Linked DNA regions of Schizosaccharomyces pombe. The gene in region 2 interacts genetically with the main gene of each other region. Each region holds a gene or a part of one and is shown on either strand. Other genes may lie near its edges. The genes, in order: ubp2, mug124 and nnr2.

Region 1 (3,757 bases), on a different chromosome or scaffold from region 2:
GATGCGCGATAATTGAGTACTCTACTGCTGAAGAAGCGCGCACGGCAATTAAAACTCTGAGCAACCAAAAATTTATGGGCCGTCTTGTTTATATCCGTGAAGTAAGATTTTTTTTATGTCGCTTATTAACCTTCGTAAAGGATCGAGAACAAAATGCAAGATTTGGCTCCTCTTCAGTATCGCCTAGCGCGTCGTCGAATGGCAAAGATTCTGAGCCAGACAGGCAATTGTTTGTTGGTAACGTAAGTTCAATTTCTAATCCTCTATATTCTTTTCCTCGAACTTTGGTATTTTAATGAATTGTGGAATTGCAAATAAGAAATGGTACTAACGAGTATAGTTACCGTATAACGTTCGCTGGCAAGATTTAAAGGATTTGTTTAGACAAGCTGGTTCTGTTATCCGAGCTGATATCCAAATGAACCAAGAAGGCCGATCCCGTGGCATTGGGATTGTTGTCATGAGTTCGATGAAAGAAGCCATGCATGCCATTCAAATGTTGCATAACACTGATTTCATGGGCCGCACTTTAGAAGTTCGCCTAGATCGGTTTGCACATCATAAAAGTAAGCCGTATTCCACTCATGGAAATGGCTATACGTTTCCAGCGGAAATGCAAATGACTACATCATCCACCTATCTACCCATGTTAGGTGCTAATACTCAAGTCGAGGATTTAGTTTATCATGCGTATCCCCATGGACCCTGCTCGGATTGCATTTACGTTGGAAATGTATGTATATAAGGACGCTTTTGTGGGATTAGTTTTCCGCATCATTTTAAGTTTTTTTTGGAGATTACTGACTGAATATAGTTACCTTGGGCCACCTCAGATCGCAATTTATTGGACCTATTCACAGATATTGGCTCAGTCATTCGTGCCCGAATCGCCTATGAGCCCACTGGCCGATCTAAAGGTTTCGGTGTCGTTCAATTTGAGAATGAAAATGATGCAGCATCCTCAATTGAAAAATTAAATGGTTATCGTTATGGCGGGAGACCCTTGCAATTATCATACGCTCACTATGCGACTCCACTACCTGCTGTCCCTACTGTGCTCTCGGGTCTTCCTTCAGTCGCTTATACACCACCTGTTATGCATATCCCTACAACGAATTCACCACTAACGCCCCAATCTTTTACAAATTCTTTCTTAGGCTATCTACCGATTTCAATGCCCGTTGCAAACATGCCCGCTATTGCTCCTATTTCTGTAGCTTTACCCGAAAATAATATTGAACATTCTTTGGAGCCTTCTTAAAAATTCGCCAATACATCTGAACTTCTTTTCTCTTTACAATTAAGCACATTTCCGTAGTGTGAATGGCTAGCTCAGTGACGACATGCGCAATGTTCTAAGGCAGTTATCCTAATATTGTTTGCTTTTCTCTATTTTTTCTTCAAATTTTTGCTTTAATTCCTAATCCCCAAATATTCTTATTTTCCATGTTTATAGATTTATCTCTTTTGTTTGATTTCAATTTTTTGCTAAGATCTTATTCTTTTCCGTGACACACCAAAGTATGCTGATGGCATATATATTCGTCTCTCGTTCTTCTAATTGAAGTCTTTTTAATTTTAGCTTTACTGTTTTTTTACAGGATGCCTAGTTTCCTTCTTTTACAATTGCTAACCATTTCATGGTTTTAATGATATTTTAGATTTTTAGACTTCCATTCTGTTAACTTCCAGTTAACCAAGTTTAATCTTTATTGATTAACTACATTATTTTTAAAGTAAGGTGTATTTAGGTTAAAAATCTTATTTAAGCATAATGGTAAATTTCGTATAGCGAAATGTAGGTGTTGATTGTTTCTTACCTTCTTTAGTAGCCTTATCAATGAAATACAAACATTTACTTCTATCTTATTCCCCACATTCATAAAATTGATGGTCGCATACCTGGCTGGCATATGTAAGACGACAAGCATCATACGCATGAAGTCTACCTACCGAGTCCTTTACTCATGAAAAATCCTTCAATCTGTACGTTCTTTCCGTTTGGACGTTTTTTCAAGTATTTTTCATAATAAAAAATTTAAATTTCTTTATTAAAATTATTTACATCAAACTATAAAGAGGAATGGCAACTGTAAAGAACTTGCGAATTGGCAAAAGTCCTAATCGGTTGATTCAAGATTTAGACGTCTTTGATAGTCCATCAGCTGGATGGAATGATCCTTGGAGTCCTCATAGCTCAAGATATCACTGGCAGCTTCATTCAAATTTAGGCGAGTCCGCTGTATTTGACGAGAATGACTTTTGGTGTGTTTGTCAAAAAACTCGCAAACACTTACATGTGAAAGTCCGAAGAGACAGGGGGAAGCCATTAATTGAAGAGCCTGAAGAAAATTATGGAATAAAAGATAGGATTCCTGTTTACTACGAAGAAGAGGAATTACCTGAACCTCATGTGACTAGCCCTACGAAAAGTGAATTCGCTACTACCTCTACTTGTATGAAATGGAGTAGCAAAACAACAAAAAGTGAAATTGAAGTTGAATGGAGAGATAGCTATCTTGATGCTAATTGTATCAAAGAGATAATTGATTCCCGACGTCCATCATTTGCTTCCCTTTTAACTAAAAAATCGTCATCTCATCAAGGGTCATCCCATTCATCCCAACCTTCTCTTTTTACTACATTTACTTCTTTGGAGTTGTTTTTACGAAACGTGTTGGTCCATAACGATCAACGTGCCATTAGCGCTGCCCCGGAAGGAACTTTTGAGAGACATGTCGGAAAGGGCCGCCAAATTCAATCTTTGATGAAATCTCTTCTGTTTGAATATCACCACGAAAATGTAAATTATGTCCCTACCATTGCGGACGCTCCCCTTACTGACGAACAAAAACTTAATCTATACCTTGCTAGGAATGAACTTATTGTTTTGGCTAATCACTTTCGTGACACTAAAGAAGATCCGGCTATTGTTGCTAACCCTTTTCCCGTTAGGTTGGCTCGACCTGCTTTAATTAATGCCTTTGGCGTTCCTAACTATGATAGCGTGGTTCCCATGTATACCACAGTTTTTCGCGACAATTCGGCCTCCTTACCTGATGATCCTGCTTTTATAGCCTTGGGTATCACGAATGATTATCCAGACAGCTTTGTCCGTTATTTCTATGAGGAACAAAAAAAGAACGATGAAGCTAATGTTCGTGTTTATGCGGATGCGCTTGCTCATATATACAATTTACGTAAAAGCAGCTTTTTGAGAGATCTAATTGCGGCAGATAGGAAAAATGGAATCGTGTCGAGCGATGTAATACAAGCCGCTTATTCGAGTTTAGGACTTGAAGCTGAGGTAGGCCCGGATTACAGGTATAGTCAAGAAAAAATCTTTGAGGCGTTTCATTCTGCCCTCCTAAGAAAACCTGAATTTGCCAGAGCTATTAGGAACGATTTGGAGACTATTGGCTATGCAAGAAAGAGTTCTGAAATTTTAAATTATGTTTTGTCTACAGAACAGGCTTTTTATACGGTTAATGAAGCCTACCAATGGTTGGGCATTAAGTCTAACACCGAGGACGCCATGGTAGCTTCTGTGGCCTTAGTGAAATTTGAAGATGATAGCGACAAAGCCATCGAGGCCGTCAAATGGATAGCTGAAGAGAGAAATAGCTCCATTTTGTACGATTTCTTGGCTTCACAAGGTAGACCTTCCAACAAGAAGCCTAAAGAAGTGCCTATGGATGAAGATCTAGCTTACAACACATTAGGTGTTCAAGATCGTGCACTATCAGATGACGTTTTA
Region 2 (3,757 bases):
AATGCATCATTACCATCATCCGTACACCACAGGAAGAGTAGCGATGGCAGGTGGCATGTTCCGGTAAGTTATGTTTGGGCGAAACCGAATGCGAGACCTTTTAGGCGAGATGAAGATGGTGAGATGGTGAAACAAAAAGGTTAATTTGCAGGGAGAAAAAAAGGTTAGACGGAGGGCTGGAAGAGGGATGTCAGCTTGAGTGAAGAGCTAACAAGAGCGGAAAAGAATAGAGAGGCAAAGGAAGAACACTATGGTTTTGTTTAGGGAATAAGAATATGAAGTTGTAGTGCATATATAGTAAAGGAATGGAAAGGAATGAGAAAGATAGAGTGGATAGATGAATGATGAATGGATGAATAGGTGAATGAAGTGGAATATGTATTTCTATAAAGAATGCTAGGAGTAAAGGAATGAAATAGAAAGGATTGGGTAAGAAAAAGTGTGTGTATGTATGAGTGTATTAGTGAATGAGATTCTGTGCAAACGAAAAAGTAGGATAATAAACTTAATGGATGGAAAATCAATTACACAAACTATGCTGTCTACTTAAAAAAATAAATAAATAAATAAAACCTACAACTCGACAAACCATGCTATCAAATATAAAAAGTCTACAGGCTGTACCACATAATGTGTTTATATATGTGTATATTGTGCTATGAGATGTACTTGTACATAGCTGTAGTTACAACTTGGATATACGTGCTATACCTATTATTTAGTAGAGCGTGCAAGTAAACATATTATACCCTAGTCTTTTAACTCTCTCTATATATTCGTTACGACGACGCTTTGTCTATATGTTATCCTCGATGTGTTACGATGTTACAAGTTACACTGCGTTATGCTACTTATCCAGCGTCTGCAGTCTTACTCTTTCTCTCTCTCTCTCCATTTCCCTCTGCTCTCCCTTTCATTTCACAAGCCCACGTTAACCTCACATAGCCCGCTTACAGTGCATTGCCCTACATCGTTATATCGATGCGTTGCGTTGCCAAAGAGGCGAGGAACAATATTCGTCAAGATTTTGCTTATCTCTAACAACAAGAGTTTATCCGTTCCAACCATTTCCCTGCGGTAATCCAATTGTTATCCGTAGCGAAGGGTTCAAGTGCCGCTGACATCAACCGAGCCCATCTAGGTAACGAGGTATATCGGTCATCGTGTCGGGGTTGCTAAATAGGAATGGTTGCCTTGCAAATCGTTACCTGACCAGAGCTGCAGCGAAAACGTAAACAAAGCGTATGTACGAAGGAAGAAATTGGATGGAAAAAATGAATCGACAAAACAAGGCAAAGCGCAACTCCAAGCAAAGTGACACATGACCGAGCATGAAAACGCAATCCAATGCAATGCCACACATACACTCAGAGATGCAATGCCACGACGATGGAATGGACAATGCAGACCAACGATTTTGAGCAGAGAAATATTAGCTTGACATGATGTGAGATGGGTGGAGATGTGGAATGGAATGGAATGAATGGATGGACATGAAATGAAATTTACCAAGTAAACAAGAGAGTTAATAATAGTAAGAATGATTTGTCTCCTAGTCTCAGCAATAGCAACACTTGACAGTGACTGCAGTCTCATACTCTTCTAGTCAAGTCTCATCCTCTTCCACTCTCTCAATTCCTTTTTATCAATGTTTCTTCCTCTTGTTATGTACACAAACGATGATCTCTTCTCTCACCTCATTGCTGGACTAATATTACTCGTGGCCAAGCGAAACACAAGTGGTACTAGATAACCAAAAAATGATAAAGCATTCAATCAATCAAACCACTTACGAAATTCATACTCCCGTAAACGAATGCCGGTCGGACGCATGGAAAATCATCAATACGTGAGAGAGCTACTTAGTTGTGCACTTTGTATATGTCCAAAAATACTTTTCATTTCACATACCTGCTTGTGTAAAGACAGTGATGAAATGCGGTGCAAAGTGTCTATTCTTACATTGATGGTAAAGCTAATTCAAGCATGCTTGGAAGAAGAATTGCCTTGCATTTCTTGATCATTTGACCCAGGCGACAACTATAAAATAAGAATACTACCGAAGATGCAGATGGGGTGTGTGGGCACAACACCATCGAACCGAACCGAGACGGCCAGACTGTGATAACAAAAGAAATGCATTAGTTTAGTTGGCTGGTTCAAGTTGGTTGAGTAGAAAAATCCATCACTCAAACTGGGAAGTAGGGATGGCTGGGAGAATGGAGAAGCGAGACGAGACGAGACAAGACAAGAGGAGATGAAATGAAATTAATGAAAAGAAATGAATAGAAATGAAATAGACATATGAATAGTATAGGGCAGGTTAGATGTTTGTATTTATAAATGTTTAATGCTTAGGTTTGTATTTATGTTTACGTTGGTAATGTTTCTTTTGTTTGTGTTTGTGCATCGGGTGAACGAGTTGGTTACCGCCGCCGCCGCTTCCTTTTGCCTTGACACACACCACGCAACGTGTTACGGTTCTTGAACGGAATTGCGTACTTCGATGCAGAGCGCTATCGGGGGGATTGGGGATGGTAAATGGAAGAAATCAAAAACTTCTTTTGACGTCAACCCCTAAAACAGGGGACGGTGATTGGTGGTAACCACGGACCGGATAGGTATCGATATGCACATCAGGTGAGAAGTTTTTCCGAGGCCAACTCCGGCTCCATGGTATATAATAGAGGGTTGCGCGCTACTGTTGCAGTATCATACTTCCAAAGGTCGTATAGAACACACACACAAATTAGCAAAATGGGAATTCTCGATATTGTACCTACTGGTGTTATTACAGGTGACAACGTTTTAAAGTTGTTCACCTACGCTCGTGAGCACGGATTCGCCATCCCTGCCATTAACGTCACCTCCTCCTCCACTGCTATTGCTGCTCTTGAGGCTGCTCGTGAGGCTCGTTCCCCCATCATCTTGCAAACCTCCAACGGTGGTGCTCACTTCTTTGCTGGTAAGGAATCCTCCAACGAGGGCCAAAAGGCCTCCATTGCCGGTTCCATCGCCGCTGCCCACTACATCCGTTCCATCGCTCCTTTCTTCGGTGTCCCCGTCGTCATGCACTCTGACCACTGCGCCAAGAAGCTTCTCCCCTGGATGGACGGTATGTTCGAAGCCGATGAGGCCTACTTCAAGATTCACGGTGAGCCTCTTTTCTCTTCTCACATGCTTGACTTGTCCGAGGAGCCCAAGAAGGAGAACATTGCTCAAGTTAAGGAGTACTGCAAGCGTGCCGTTCCCATGAAGATCTGGATCGAGATGGAGATCGGTATCACTGGTGGTGAGGAAGACGGTGTCGACAACTCTCACGTCTCCCACACCGAGCTCTACACTCAACCCGAGGACATCTGGGATGTCTACCGTGAGCTCTCCTCCGTTACCCCTTACTTCTCCATTGCCGCCGCTTTCGGTAACGTCCACGGTGTCTACAAGCCCGGTAACGTCAAGCTCCAACCCGCTCTTTTGGGTCAACACCAAGCCTATGTTAAGGAGCAACTCAAGACCACCAACGACAAGCCCGTTTTCTTCGTCTTCCACGGTGGTTCCGGTTCCTCTGTCAACGAGTTCCGTACTGGTATCAAGTGCGGTGTCGTCAAGGTCAACATTGACACTGATACCCAATTCGCCTACGTCGAGGGTGTCCGTGACTATGTCTTGAAGTACAAGGACTACCTTATGACCCCCGTCGGTAACCCCGAGGGAGCTGACAAGCCCAACAAGAAGAAGTTCGACCCTCGTGTCTGGA
Region 3 (3,757 bases), on a different chromosome or scaffold from region 2:
AAGATGAATGATCTAGCAAAAGAGAGTTTCAGACCAAAGAAAGTTGATGCTTTTCACTTTATAGATTACTCAAGTATCTACTTTAAACGGAAGTAAACAAGTTACGAAGGTAAAAAATTTCAAACATTTACAATCTTAAATTAATAAACCTATGCTTCAAAAAAAGACAGGAGTTACTCTTCTAATAACACTTCTTCACTAACTAGTTGTACTGGATGTTCTGTAACGAAAGAATGGACTGGGTTTGCAGTTTGGATAGTGTATCCAGCTCTCATAAAATTTGTTTGCTTTTTGCAAGCTAAACGTTTGACAATGGTTTTTCTTTTTCAACTTAAAGCACTTTATGCCCCATCAATTAGTCCTTCTTACTGGAAACTATATTTTTCTTGTCAGTTTGGAGTTCAGCAACTTGTCAACTACCCACCACTTTGGGAAGTGGTTAAAAATAAGCAATGCGGAATGACTGAGACTGGCAGAACCAGTAAATATCGTGTTGAAATTCAACAAATGATGTTCATTCTAGGGGAGGTGCAGGATCCTCTCCCAGAAACCACACAATTAGTCGAAGAGCTAATACGTGGACAAGTGATGGAGATGTTAATTCAGGCAAATGAGCTAGCTTTACGACGTGGCTCAAGATCTATTACTGTGGAAGATTTATTTTTCTTAATTCGCCATGATCGTGCAAAGGTGAATCGACTAAAGACATACCTGTCATGGAAGGAAGTGCGCAAGAAAGCGAAGGAGCAGGATGCCAATCCTGCCGATACAAAAGATCTTTTTGAGGAAGTAGATTCAAAAACAAGGTCAATGAATGCAGTTGCTATGCCTTGGGAAGTAAAAAATATGTTTACAGAGCCTGTACCGGAAACAGAAGAGTTTGAAGAAGATAACGATACGATGGAAATGGCATATGCGACGCGACAACGTCTTAAAATGGCAGATGAACGCACGAAGAAAATGACGCGTGAGGAGTATGTTCATTGGAGTGAATGTCGACAAGCCAGTTTTACTTATCGAAAAGGCAAGCGATTTCGTGAATGGTGTGGCATGTCTATTCTAACAGATACTCGCCCTGATAATGATATTGTAGATATACTTGGCTTCTTGACCTTTGAGATTGTGGCTACCTTAACTGAGGAAGCACTGGCTGTGAAAGATCGAATGGATCGGATTCAAAATAGCTCGGGTAGTGGAGGCTCTCATGCAGCGCATCATCCGAAAAATTGCAGTTTATTTGATGGACTTACTGAGGGGAGAACTCCCCTTCAAGTTTCTCATGTTTTAGAAGCTTTTCGTCGTTTGCAAATCCCCGATAAAACTCATACTGCTATGCGCAGTTTTCATGGGGGTTTGGTCAAATCTCGTGTGTATCTTATCTAATCATTTTCACTGTCTCTTCTTTTTTTTTAATTGCTGTAAGGCTTCCATTTACATCTAAATGCCCTGTTTTCCTGTAATTACCCATACTAGGTACGTATATGTTATTATCCCCATTACTGGTTCTCCTTGAAACAATATGGTTTAGATCTTACGAAAGCCCCTTTACTTTATGGAGATATTAACTACTCAATATATTTCATCACATTAGACTGTTGTCTTGCATCTCCGATTGAATTCATAATTTTATTTCTATCTTTCCACTAAGCGATATTCTTAATTGCAGCAGTGGTAGTATTTGGACTTTTGGATTTTTTAATATCAAATTTTTCTTATTATACTGGAATCTCATGATATCTGTGAATATTTGCAAATCTTCTTACCAAACTTCGTTTACTCTATACAAACTGCTGATTTTCGTAATGAACAAGGGGATCATCCTTTTGATATCGTCAGTGCGAAATTTTTAAAAAACAAAGGGTTTCTTTACGTTTTTTTTTTGTTTTCGAGAACATTTGAACTTCATCACTGAGCGTCATTTTGATCATACCTTCCACCTTAACATCATACATACGCCAACTCCAAGAATAACCGAACATTCGTATTCCGAAGCACTCACAGTACTTAAGAGATACAAAATTCAGGAATTTTAAAGACTTTTTGATTTATTATAATTGTAATTCTTTATAATTTTTTGCTATCCGAAGAATTCGCTCAACAAGATTACAACATGACATCTGGATCTCCCAAAATTACAAATTTGCTGACTCGTGTGAAGCGCATCATTCCACCACTTCTTGATACCTTCCACAAAGGTCAAGCCGGTCGAGTTGGTGTTTTTGGGGGTTGTCAGCACTACACAGGTGCTCCGTACTATTCTTCGATGTCGTCGATGCTCTTCGGCAGTGACCAAAGCCACATATTTTGTGAAAAAGAAGCTGCAAATGTCATTAAAAGCTATTCTCCTGATCTGATTGTTCATCCATTTTTACGTGAAAAGGACAAAGCTGGACCAGAAGATAGTGTCGATAAATGCTTTGAACTTATAAAGCCCATGATGGGAAGATTGCATGCCATCGTAATTGGGCCTGGATTGGGACGTGATGAATGGATGCAAGAGATTATGGCCAAAGTAATTGAGTATGCGCGCAAAAATGATATGCCTATGGTTATCGATGCTGATGGCTTGTGGTTAATTCAACAACGTCCCGAATTGGTTTCGGGTTATCATAATGTAATTTTAACACCTAACGTTATTGAGTTCAAAAGACTTTGCGACAAGCTTGACATTAAGAGTGACGGACCCGATGCTTGCAATCAGCTAGCTGGCAAACTAAATTTGCTCATCATTCAAAAAGGCCAATCCGATATTATTTCCGATGGCGCTACTGCATATGCTTGCTCCGTTCCTGGTGGTCTTAAACGTTGTGGTGGTCAGGGTGACATTTTAACTGGTATACTTGCTACATTCCTTGCTTGGAGACATGCTTATCTTAGCAAAGAATGGGATACAGAAGGTAATATGGATGCTAAAGAATGTCTCTTCCTTGCCGCATTTGGAGCCTCTGCCTGTACTCGCTGGTGCAGTCGTTTGGCGTTTAAGGAATGTGGTCGTGCAACTCAATCAACTGACCTGGTCAGACATGTGGGTAAAGCGTATAATGCGTTAATGGAGGATGAGATACCGTCTGTCGAGGAAAAAATAAAAGATTAAAAAAAAATAATATTTAAAAACCAAGAAGATAAAGGACCCTTAAACTAATAATTGACTTTTTTGCTTGTTTGTTCCCTGGAATTGACATTATTACCATGTTTTCAAGTCTTGGTTCAAATTCCCAAGCAAAGGGATACCTTAAACTTAGTTACTAGGAATGACTGAAACGAAAATACCAGATTATTAATGAAATAGCGTATTTAATTTTAAAAACCATGTTCAAAATAAACATTGCATAGTCGTTGGTATCATTGTTGTTGAGGAAATTTGATGTAGCTGTCACCGTTTTTATTTATTGTAACAGACAAGGGCAAGCAGACTCTTCTTTTTGATTCGTAATTGTCATTATTTACATTATCAAATTTAACGGAAATTAGTATTGTTCCTAAGTTTTACTATAAGACGATGTATCTATGAGCACGACAATAGCTTCGGAAACCAATTCAAACCTTCATATAATAGTTAAATTCTAATATTCTACGATTTAGATATCTAGATTATTAATCAATTCCTATCTTGACCTCAACGTTGTATTTTCATTCTACTGTTTTTCTTCTTGGAAAGTCATAATTGACAATATGGAATATTGAAATGCGTTATCAATTAAAAATGTTACTATTTAATTTGAAAAAAAGAAATGTGAGATAAAAAGAAAGAACATGG

The links.
Region 1: mutations in mug124 (region 2) and ubp2 together harm fitness less than expected from each alone (positive genetic interaction), as found in Schizosaccharomyces pombe (one large-scale study listed by BioGRID).
Region 3: mutations in mug124 (region 2) and nnr2 together harm fitness less than expected from each alone (positive genetic interaction), as found in Schizosaccharomyces pombe (one large-scale study listed by BioGRID).

What each region holds. Positions count from the first base shown.
Region 1 is NC_003424.3:3,485,242-3,488,998, forward strand, and holds the start of ubp2 (ubiquitin hydrolase Ubp2), read left to right. Parts: upstream 1-1,952; 5' UTR 1,953-2,083; coding exon 2,084-3,757. Other genes in the region: hrb1 (RNA-binding and mRNA export factor), read left to right, coding at 1-101, 141-242, 341-733, 815-1,261.
Region 2 is NC_003423.3:1,685,610-1,689,366, forward strand, and holds the start of mug124 (protein mug124), read right to left. Parts: upstream 1,634-3,757; 5' UTR 1,597-1,633; coding exon 1,159-1,596; 3' UTR 1-1,158. Other genes in the region: fructose-bisphosphate aldolase Fba1, read left to right, coding at 2,758-3,757. UniProt on the Schizosaccharomyces pombe protein: Has a role in meiosis.
Region 3 is NC_003421.2:1,442,543-1,446,299, forward strand, and holds nnr2 (NADHX dehydratase Nnr2), read left to right. Parts: upstream 1-1,946; 5' UTR 1,947-2,110; coding exon 2,111-3,094; 3' UTR 3,095-3,340; downstream 3,341-3,757. Other genes in the region: SAGA complex subunit Spt3, read left to right, coding at 460-1,383.